2 linked regions of the Caenorhabditis elegans genome follow. The protein of the gene in region 1 purifies or fractionates together with the protein of each later gene. This does not show direct contact. Each region holds a gene or a part of one and is shown in the gene's direction. Other genes may lie near its edges.

Region 1 (3,406 bases):
TGTGCATTCGCCATTCGTTCGTTGAAGCTCTCGTTCAAGTCAACTTCTTCAGTATTGGGACCCGTCTCATCATCGTCCTGAATAACAGTAAATTATTATATTCAGATAATGCTAGATTCTACCCACCTCTTCCTCCTCGTCATCATCCTGCCCATCATCATGCAATGGCATAAGATCATCCTCATCGAATACTTTGTTTGCCTCTTCATCAACCGGCTCGGCGACTGGATCCTCATCAGTCCACCGAATTGGGAATGTGGTGACGCGAAGATCTTCGGTTTCGATTTTACGGGAAAGCTGAAAATTTTTGAAAATTCAAGGTCAAAACTGAATTATCTACATTTTTTAACTGAAGGAACTTTGAGATTAATTTAGAGCATTTCACTTTTTCCCTCTTTCCACAACAGATGGTTTATTACGTCATCCCATACAGTACATCTGTGTGCGTGAGCCCGATCGATGATGTCCATCTGCTCGACAGGTAGCGTGCACAACGTATTCAGTTCTCTCATTGTCATTGTCTCACTCTCAACTATTTTTCGTTCTTTATTTTTAATTATTTCATTAGTTTCATTGCTCGTTTAATAATATTTATTTATTTCCTTCAGATTGTGAAAATGAAAGCTACTGCAGCGCAAAATAATTCAACTCATGCTAGTGTAGCGACCAAAAATAGCAACTACAGAGGCGCTACATACATTTTCGACAAAGCTATCGGAGGAATTGTTTATGCAAGTTTTATAATTGCCGGAGCAATCGTCTTCGTTGGAAGTAAGGTGGAGGGCTTTATTGGACTCGACGAAAACCGTTCTGACGATCAGGAATGGACTGTCATTAGACAATAACTGGTGCTTGATTTATCAAAAATAATTTTGTGTGAATGACTTTTGAAATAAAGTGTTTTTTTCCTGAAAAGAACAGAACCTTTTCGATGAGCGGCTTTGCAGGCGGATTCTCTTTGAGCTCTTCGTCGGTGTACTCATTTGCCACAAACCATCCCATATTGATGAACTCCTGATCGTTGTACTTGCAACGAAGGAGAAGCACACTGACACCAACAATATCCTCGACTGGAATCTTTGAGATATCCGGGTGTTCTGCATCAAAGACAAACTTGTGACGTCCTTCAGGAATCGGGCCAACGAGCGCGGAATCGAGAACTTGGTCGAAGTCTCGGGAGGTTCCAGATCCAACGTACACCAATTCCCATTCGAGATCTGATTATTCTTAATTTTTATGCAGTGTAAATAATATACATACCATGTGGTAAGTGCTCAAAAACTTCAAAAGTGATCTCCATTTTGAACTTGTCGACAAACATCGCTGGATTATCGAGAATTTGGACTTGAACGATGTTAACACGTGAAGCCATCTGAATAAAAAGCTCAAAATTAGAAATTAGAAAGCAGATTCATAAACTGTTCAAACGATAGTTTTTAAAAACGAGAAACAAATCAAAAATCCCGTAAAAAGTGGTTGAAAACTCCAGCTGGATCCAGTAAAATAAAATGTCGAAAAACTTTTTCCAACTACCGTAGTTTTTTTGCACAGACGAAGGCTAATCGTGGTGAAACCCATTGAGAAACAAATTCCTGTTTTTTTTTTGTTTTTTATTCGCAAAAACGTTGACTTTATTTTCTCGGCTTTAAAAGGCAAAACTAAAGAAAAATAATACATTGAATTAGTAAAAAATTAATTGTTTTCAAATTATAGAAATTATTAAAACGAGCAAGTCAGGACGAAAATTAGAATTTTTGACCTCTCCAAGATGCGCGAAAATTTATTTTTCATTTTGTCTTTCTCAATTTCCCGTTTCACTCGATCCTCGACTTTATTCAACAATGGTGAGCCATAAGAAAAATGATCGTCCTCGCCCATTGTGGATCTTGAAAATCCATAAACGGCTTAGGTAAGCATTCAGAAGTTCCAATATTTCAAAAAGTGGTAATTTTTAGCTTGTTTGAGTTCAAGCGTTATGCAACAGGAATTGGCAAAGACGACGGACAAGACATCTCGTGGGTGCTGAAAGGAAATGCAAAGAACAATGTGTATCAGGTGATTCATTTTATTTTATATTTCCTACAAAGCTAACATTTAATAGGTTACTGTTGAAACTATGGAGAATTGTGAAACGGACGAGTGCAAGAAAGTGATCTGGGTGCCCGATGAGTTGGCAGAATCCACCGGAACGATGTTCGAAGATTTCAAGGAAGACCAACCTCAGGTATTTGACAAAACTTGTTTAGAATATATGTCAAGTCTGGAATTTTTCCAGGAATCTGTGTCTTCGATCAGTAATAATGAAGCAAATTGGGGGAGTTCTGTGAATGAATTGGACGAAAATTATGAAAAAATGCAGAAAGAGGAAACATTTGATCCATATGATTCGGATTCCGATACATCCGAGGATTCCGACTTCGATGAGGATTTTGAGGATTCTGATAAAACGATGTGTTCTGGTCAATCATGAAATTAACCATTAATCGAAAAACTTCAAACTCAAAAACGCTGTGAATAATTTTTTCAAGAAATAATGTAGTTTTAAATATTGTGATATACTAATGTGATATAAGAAATCTTAGTTTCTCGTTCAGATTCCCATTTATTCTCTCGAAGCATTGAATATATATATATATATATATTTATTCAAATCGTCGTAACAAAACAGAAAGTATAGAATAATCACCGGGAGAAACAGACTTGAATAATTTGAATGATCCTGTAAACCAAAAGTAGTTAAGGGGATCAAGTTGTGTGGGAAAAATAATTAAACGGGATAGAATTTAATCGTGATGCAAACATTTGACGGCTCATTGTCCCCGGAAGTAACTTGGACATACGGTTCCATAGGTGAAGATTGACTAGTAGGAAGCTTTCGTTGATTGATCCACAAGGGCACATCATGTACGGATATCTGGGCGAGCGAGCCTTCCTCACAGTTGATGCGGCATTCGGAAAGTGGTATTCACCAGACAGGATGTTGTGATAGGTCCTCAATATTTGAAGAATCCGCAGGTGTTGAACTGACTTTTGGTTCATCTGAGCTAGACGGTTTTCATATGATGAGTATGATAGATTGCAGCGTTGGAAGACTTTTCTCGAGAAAAACTTCAGTGGGAACTCCAGTTGTTTAATCATATTTTTAGAGATCGGGTTGTAGATTTCACATCCGTAGTTTAATATTGGCTGCACATAGATATTGTACAATTTGAAGTAAAGGCTGGCATTTGTTGAGCGGAAGGATCGAAGTAACTGCCGGCATTTGAGAAGGGCTAAGTTCGAAATGATGTTTATGTGCTTCTGGAAGTTCAGCTTGTCGTCGACGAAGATTCCAAGGTCTTTCACTGAGTCCTTTTTGGTGACTTTCATTCCGTTTGCATAATATTCATTTTTTGGATTCCGCTTT
Region 2 (7,413 bases), on another chromosome or scaffold:
ATCGCCGTAAACTCTCCAACCCTGGCCAAGACCAATGGGAACTCCAGAGTCGGACCATTCCCACCACCACTACTTCTTGTCGCTACTGAGAAAATCAAGGACTCTCGATACACGAAAGAAGATTTAAGTGCATGGGCTGCTGACATGACAAGTTTCTCCTATCCAGCTGCTCAAGCTTCGTCTTCACCTGCAGTAGCTGCAAGGCGACGCTTGGAAGTTTCTAGAATGTCAGTGATGTTCAGGATGAAGAGTTATAACTCGACAACTAGCACAAAAACGGCGAAAACTACCAAAATGCTGATGTCAATGTCTCTAGTCATTGCAAAAGTTGATCCAGCTCAAGGAGTCATTGTTACACAACATGATATCAAATCTCTCCGAAAAGAGGGTGAAACTAACATGGAAGCTTCTCCTCAAATAAGTGTTGCTCCTGTCGGTGGTTGGATTCTTCAGAGGACCAAGAACAATGCAGATATGCATGCCCCAATGCCTTCTGCTTCTCCACTAATGGCTTTTGCTACAGTAGAGACTGTACCAGCAAAGAGGATTGGCGACGAGGATGTTTGGACACCTCACGTGGAAACACGAACGTATCTACCACCACACCGTTGGATTTGGCAAGGACCACAGTTCGAGTTGTTTGAATATCGAGAAGATGATCAACCGAGTCTGATGTCTCCTGGTAATAAAGGATCCAATGCTTCATTCAAGTCGATTCCAGTCCTTGTTGGATCTGAGGCAGTGAATATAAGTGAGTTGGAAGATTTAGTGGGTGAATTTTATCAAAACAACCTTATATTTGCAGCCATGAAAACTATTCCCGCTGATGCAACAAGAATTGAATGCGGTAGTTACACATCTGCCAACTCGTACAGCATCGATCAAGGATCTGATCAACCAGTAATTGGTGGATATAGTAGTGCCACAAATGGAGATGTAGGTTTTAGATCGAAAAATAGTTTAGAAAATTAACAAACAAATTCAGAATTAAGTAAAAAGGAACATTTTTATAAACCAAAATTAATAACTAAACAATTACCTACAATATTTCAGTACATTGCCTCAATTGCTGATGCTATGCGTGATATTTCAAGTGATGACGACAGCACGAAAAAGAAGTCTCCAAAAAATGATGATCTTATTGAAGAATTTTTCGACACCGAATCGTCAACTCCATTTGCTCGAAACGGTTCTGGATCATCGTCTTCCACTGGAGCCACTGGCGGCAAATCTTTGAAAAAGAAGAAGACACCACCAGCGTCTGCCCCTCTACCAACATCTTCCACAAAATCATCTCAAAAGGACAAAAAAGTTCAGAATGGACGAGAACGATCGAAGGATTCTGACGATTTTGGAACTTTTGACATGGATGATATTTGATTTGTATCTATTTCTGTATAATTTGTATGTAATTTTATATTTTATCTCCTTTAAGTTTTTTCCTATGCTTTGACCACTGGTTGGTATAATTTCTCACTTCTTCCCATCTTTCAGCTCCCCGTAATTGCCTTTTCCCCATTTATTAATCAGGTTTCTTTTAATTCAATTTTCAATCATTCAAACTTCTCAAAAACTTCCCACTGAAAACATGTGAAAATCCACAAAAAAATATTACGGTCCTACTTTTTTAAAATTCAAATTTCGCTGTAATTTTAACCTCACTTTTCTTGAAATATGTGTAAAATTTCCTTTTCTGAGTATTTTCCCATTATTTGTATAATTTTTGGAACTTTATCTAGAATATTTCATGTTTCATTAAGAAATTACCAATTCAGTTTCACTGAACTAGATTCCCCTAGACTTTTATCGTCCTTATCCATTTCACCTTATCATTTTTCTAACAAATTATCATCAAACTTTTGGTCTATCAATGAAAATGTAGAAATTAAAATAATTTTTTATACGAGCTCACGTGAATTTCTAGTGTTCTACTATTCTAGTTTTTATATTTTAATTATTTCCTAATTCCAAAAATTAATGACAAATAATTTTTTCTGATGCCACCACATCCCTCAACTACATGGAAAGATTATATGTTAGATAATCTGAAAATCGAAGGAGAGACGCTGAAACGGGCTTCAGAAGAGCAAGTAATCAATACCGTTGTGGATGTTCTCAGAGATATTGGGTAAAACATTTATTTCTTATCTTGTTTTTTCATTTGGAAAAAAACAGTGTATAAGATAATTCAGATTCAACCTTCCAAATCTTAAAATTGTCGTTCAAAAATTTGGATATATGCCCGACGATGATTCTGAAGTAGATCAGAGATACTATGTATGCTTTGAAGTTGATTCGAATAGTTCTGCCGAAATGTTTGAACAACGACACGGAAAAACAAAGAAAATTCATCGAATGAACAAAAAAAGTTCGGAAATGGATCATAAGAAATGGCTTAAATTGAAGCAATACATTGGATTCAATGCTGAAATTATTCAAAAGACGTTGCGTGAAGCAAAAAGGTAAACACAGCGCGGAAAAAAAATTTAATTTCTGTGTATTATTTCAGAATTATGTCGGAACATCCATATCCATCATCAGACGGATTTCGATTGACTTGCAACAGAAACATGATTGTTTTGTACTTTGACGACAAGAAAGAAAGTACTATTAATATTGAACAACTCGCTCGGAATTATAGAAAAGTATTTGATAAGGCTATTGAGGTAATTTATAAATTTATGTTTTCAAACTTTCCCCAATTTTCCGGGTATTGGTCCCGGTCTCGAAGCGACCAATCTTTTTTGATACTTACTTTGATACTTTGATGTCCGTTGGGTTCAAGTTGCGAGGCAACTGCGGACAAACTCTTTCCATTTTTCACGGTCGGTGCGTGCGATGGACAGCCATGGGACCTTCGGTGTGAGCATTCCTAGTCTTCTTCTCCCAACGACGACTTGTCCCGACATGGCGGAATTATGGTGGAATTTTGCGTATTCTTCGTCGATGTCCTTTGCCCATCTTTTCTTCTGTCCTCCAACGGCCCGTTTCCAATTTTTGTTGTGGCTCGGGTCCCATTCCGTGCAGATTTTTGTCCATCGGTTTGGATCTCTCCGTAGAATGTGTCCTGTAAATCTTGATTGTTTTGCAAGGAGGTAACGATCCAAGTTGAAGTTCCAGCCTCGAATTTCTGCAGCGTCGATGAGACCGGAGACAGTTCTTTTGAGTCTCAGCGTGGATCCAGCATTACAAGTCCAAGTTTCACTAGCATACAGGAGAGCTGGTAGCACATTTTGCTTGAAGAGGATTATTCTTTCCTTGTTTGGCATGATTCTCAAGACTTCTTTGATTCCAACCAGAGCACCCCAACCAGCTCTTATTCGCCTCGAGATTTCTTCGTCAATTGAGCCAGATATGTCGATCCAGCGCCCCAGATAGCGACAACCTGGCACGGGAATGATGGGGGATCCGTTGAAAAGGACGTCTTGGCTCCGGCAAAACTTGTTCTTCAGAAGAACAGTCTTTGACTGATTGATCTTGAGTCCGTAATTTGAGCTTATTCGGTCCAAAATTTCCAGTCGTTCTTGAACTTCTCCCGGTGTGGAGCATATCAGGACTACATCATCCGCAAATTCCAGTCTTCTTATGTGTCTACCTTCCACATTGATGCCAACTCCCGCGAACTCGTTGTCGCAATCCGTCAGAATAGCTTGGAGAGCAGCACTGAAAAGAGCTGGGGAAGCTGAGTCTCCTTGACGAACCCCGGTGCAGAGGTTGACTTTGAGCTTCTTATCGTGCACTGTGATCTCGGCTTGTCCTCCATCCATCATTTCCTGAATCATCTTGCGCATGGCGGGATCGGCTCCTGCTTTCTCGAGGCTGGAAACCACAGCCGAGTGTCCGATTTTGTCGAAAGCCGTCTGGTAGTCGATGAAAAGAAGAAGGAGTGGGAGCTGGAATTCGTTGCACTTTTCGATGAGCATGGTGAGGCTTTGAATGTTGTCAGCACAGCATCTCCCTTTCCTAAAGCCGTTTTGACTTTCGTCCAGGTAGCTCTCCAAGGTTGGTGTCAGCCTTCTGGTCAGAATGCTCGAGAACATTTTGCTCAGGATTGGGAGGAGCGAGATTGGTCGGAAGTCTTTGATCTTAGTGGCTTTAGCCTTTTTCGGGATCAGCTTGACATCCGATATTTTCCAAAGATCAGGGACCTTGTTGTGTTGGAGGATGTTGTTGAACAGAGCAGTTACTGAGTCCACTACAGTGTCGCCTCCATTTTTGAGCATCGCCGCATCCACATTATCGAGACCTGGAGCAGATTTGGTCTTGAGTTTTCTGATCTCCAGACGTACTTCGCTCTTGAGAATGGCTGGGATGGGATCAAGACTCGGAGGATTAGGATTTGTGGTTGACGTGGAGAGCTCGTGGGAGCCTCGTATAGTGCCTTGAAGTGAGATTCGACGATTTTTCGGATTTCGATGCGGTTGGCCGTGAGAGATCCGTCAGGCCTTTCGAGATATTGCAAGGGGATTTCGGCAGGGATGGATTTCTTCAAGATTTTTGAAGATATTTTCTTCCGGCAAGCTTCAAGAATCGAGTCGTACTTTTGAGTGAGATATTCCGTTATCGATTTCCTTGCTTCTTGAGACAGTTTACGGAGCTTGGCAGTATCTGGAGCGGAGGATTCAAGGACTGATCTCCTTTCTTGCAGAATCATGTTAGTCCTTTGGCTGAATTTTTGCGGTTTATGGGCGGGAAGCGGAACCAATCCTTGTCGGAGAGTCTTGACGAAGGAGTCGTACGAACCGAAGGTTGCGTGATTACTCAGATCTTTGATGGCGTCTTCGTAGAGAGTACAGTCTCTCTCCTTACCAGTGGATGGCAGTCTCCTTGACTTGAAGGCGTGGTCGCGTTCGGATTTTACTGAAATAGCCCATCTCGAACGGATAAGACGGTGATCACTGAGATTGTGGAGATTGGAGAATGTGCTGACATCCTTCACGAGATCGATCCTGGATGAGATGAAGAAGTCGATTTCCGTCCTCCCAACAGCCTTCTTTCCTGCAAATGTCCACCTTTTCGCGAGTCTTTTAGGGAATCTTGAGTTCAGCTGGAAGAGACGAGTGGATGCAAGGAAATTGAAGAAGAAGTCTCCGTGGTTGTTGGAATTTCCGAAGACGTTCCCGCAGATCCAGGGAGCCAGTTCATCGTTGGTAGAGCATGAGGTGGCGGCGTTGAAGTCTCCTCCGAGAACGATTGGTCCTTTGAAAGATTTCCTGAGTTGGAAGTATTCAGCCCGGAGTCTCTCGAAGAAGCGCTTTGCGTCGTTTTCGGACCGACTTTTGCAAACTGGAGCATAGACATTGAGAACCATGATCTTGACTTTTCTGAATTCCAGTTCAAGAGAAGCAATGCCTCCGCCAATCCACGAGACGTTGATGACTTCTAGTTCATGGCATTTCTTTACGAAAAAGCCCAGTCCCAAGTCTTTGTTGTTGGTTTTTAGAGCAGTTGGTATTCAGGTTGATCGATGGAAGGCATGGAGAAGAAGCGCGTCTCTTGGAGATTGACGACGTGTCATGTGGAATTTTTGAGGTATTCAACCCCTGATGCGAGTCTAGGACCGAGCAGAGATTGGGTGTTCCATGTGCCAAGGTGGAATTCGCTCTTCTTTAATTCCGATCTGGTGGTCTTTCGTAGTTGGCCCCCGGCAGTCCTCAAGGGCGAAGACCGTGGCCCTAGTGAACTTGATTGCCGGGTTGTAGATCCATCGGTTTTTTCTTTGGTTTTTGAGTTTTTAGTAATTTTTGGTGTCCTACTGGGCTGACTTACTAGGCCAAGCCAGATTGCCGGAGCACGGACGTCGCCAAGACCTGGGGGAGGCCGTCAAGAACGGGAGCATTGGACGCTGCTACCGATCAGGACGTATGGCAGTTTGGGTCGTTTAGCCTACTTCTCTCCTACCTGGTGACCAACTCCAGGCACAAGCGAGCTTGGGGGAGAGAAATGTTTCCACCTTTTCGCCGCTTTGAGGCACTACCCATGAAAAGGCTATTGAGGTAATTTATAAATTTATGTTTTCAAACTTTCCCCAATTTTCCGGGTATTGGTCCCGGTCTCGAAGCGACCAATCTTTTTTGAATTAAGGGCAGTGCGCCTTTAAGCAGTACTGTAGTTTCTAACTCCTTGTTGTTACGGGGTTTTCTTCGATTTTTGATAAGTTTTCATCATTTTTATTTTTCAAAAAATTTTCTCCAGTTTCTGAGAGAAACCGGAGAAAAATTAAGAAAAGTCCGCAACACAATTTAACATAGGAATGTTTTTACTCTCAAATCAACAATTTCATTATTAAAATTAAATTTTCAGTCCTTGTCCGAGCAAGCACGTAATACCATCAATCGTCTTATCCTCATGGAACCGAACACACAGAAACGTGGAATTTCTGATGAAACAGTGTCAAATGCGTCTCCGCCAGAGAAATCTCCACGCCTTGTGAATTCACCAATGCCCGCTATGAATCAACTTCTTTCTCCGATTCTTCCAAATTGAGCTATTTTCTACTCGATAATAATTATGGTATTTTCCACTGTGAAATTTTGTATTTAGGAAAAGTTCTTCCAATTTTTCAAGAAAAATCGTTTTATTGCATGATCTCTAACTCTATTGATTTACGGTCTCATCATTTGTTGTAAAATTCAGTTCCAGTCCCAATAAATTTTCATATTTTTGCCTACCTTGGAAGTTTTTCTAAATTTCCCGTTTTTTCTTCTCATCACAAACATTCGTGATGACTCAGGTTTTCTTTCATTGCTCGCTTCAAAAGAAGAGAAGTGGGGGAAAGTTGGAGCTATGACTCAACCGTATACCATTTCCCGCTTTTTTTCATATTTAGTACATGGTGCATGCTATTTCATTGTGAGAAAACTTTCTTAACCCCGAGTTTGGAACAGGTCAAAAAAGTGAGTCAGAATGTATTATCTAAAAGGAATGTTGTTTTTGAGCCTGCAATACCCAGACGCGACATTTTACCAAAAAACTACGGTACTGGATCTTGACACGTCACGTTTTTGTTAAATAAAAAAGTGCGCCTTTAAAAAGAACGATGAAACGAAACTTTGAAACTACAGTGACTCATTAAAGGCGCAAGCATTGTCGCAGTTGGGAAACATTTCTCGTTTCGAGACCAAGTACCGTAATTTTACAGCTTGATGAACATTTCGAATGCTAAATGCAAAAAGAAGCATGCCGAAAAACGTCGTTTAAGGATCGATTGCTAAATTTTGGCAGTACATTTTTCTTGTGACCACTCATTTCCATTTCAATTTTCAACAATATTATTTGAAACGCCACCAACTTGCAAAATAGGCTCCGTCCGTAAATTGGTTTAAGTTAATATTAAGATAAATACTAAACACACTGTATCAACAATCATGAATGAAATGTGTTACTTTAAACTTTCAAATATTGCATTCATAA

What was found. Proteins that work in one complex are often made in the same cells at the same time.
Region 2: the proteins of lab-1 (region 1) and lab-2 purify together in Caenorhabditis elegans (affinity purification with mass spectrometry, with the first as the bait; one large-scale study listed by BioGRID). This does not show direct contact.

What each region holds. Positions count from the first base shown.
Region 1 is NC_003279.8:9,656,240-9,659,645, reverse strand, and holds lab-1 (Long arms of the bivalent protein 1), read left to right. Parts: upstream 1-1,622; 5' UTR 1,623-1,841; coding exon 1,842-1,909; intron 1,910-1,955; coding exon 1,956-2,055; intron 2,056-2,101; coding exon 2,102-2,224; intron 2,225-2,275; coding exon 2,276-2,470; 3' UTR 2,471-2,634; downstream 2,635-3,406. Other genes in the region: C03D6.9 (Aa_trans domain-containing protein), read left to right, coding at 618-845; asfl-1 (putative histone chaperone asf-1-like protein), read right to left, coding at 1-77, 127-297, 925-1,217, 1,261-1,372. UniProt on the Caenorhabditis elegans protein: Involved in sister chromatid cohesion during mitosis and meiosis.
Region 2 is NC_003281.10:7,324,192-7,331,604, reverse strand, and holds lab-2 (Long Arms of the Bivalent protein), read left to right. Parts: upstream 1-1,997; coding exon 1,998-2,128; intron 2,129-2,192; coding exon 2,193-2,462; intron 2,463-2,509; coding exon 2,510-2,666; intron 2,667-6,303; coding exon 6,304-6,486; 3' UTR 6,487-6,665; downstream 6,666-7,413. Other genes in the region: F56C9.10 (BCAS3 WD40 domain-containing protein), read left to right, coding at 1-751, 806-936, 1,054-1,380.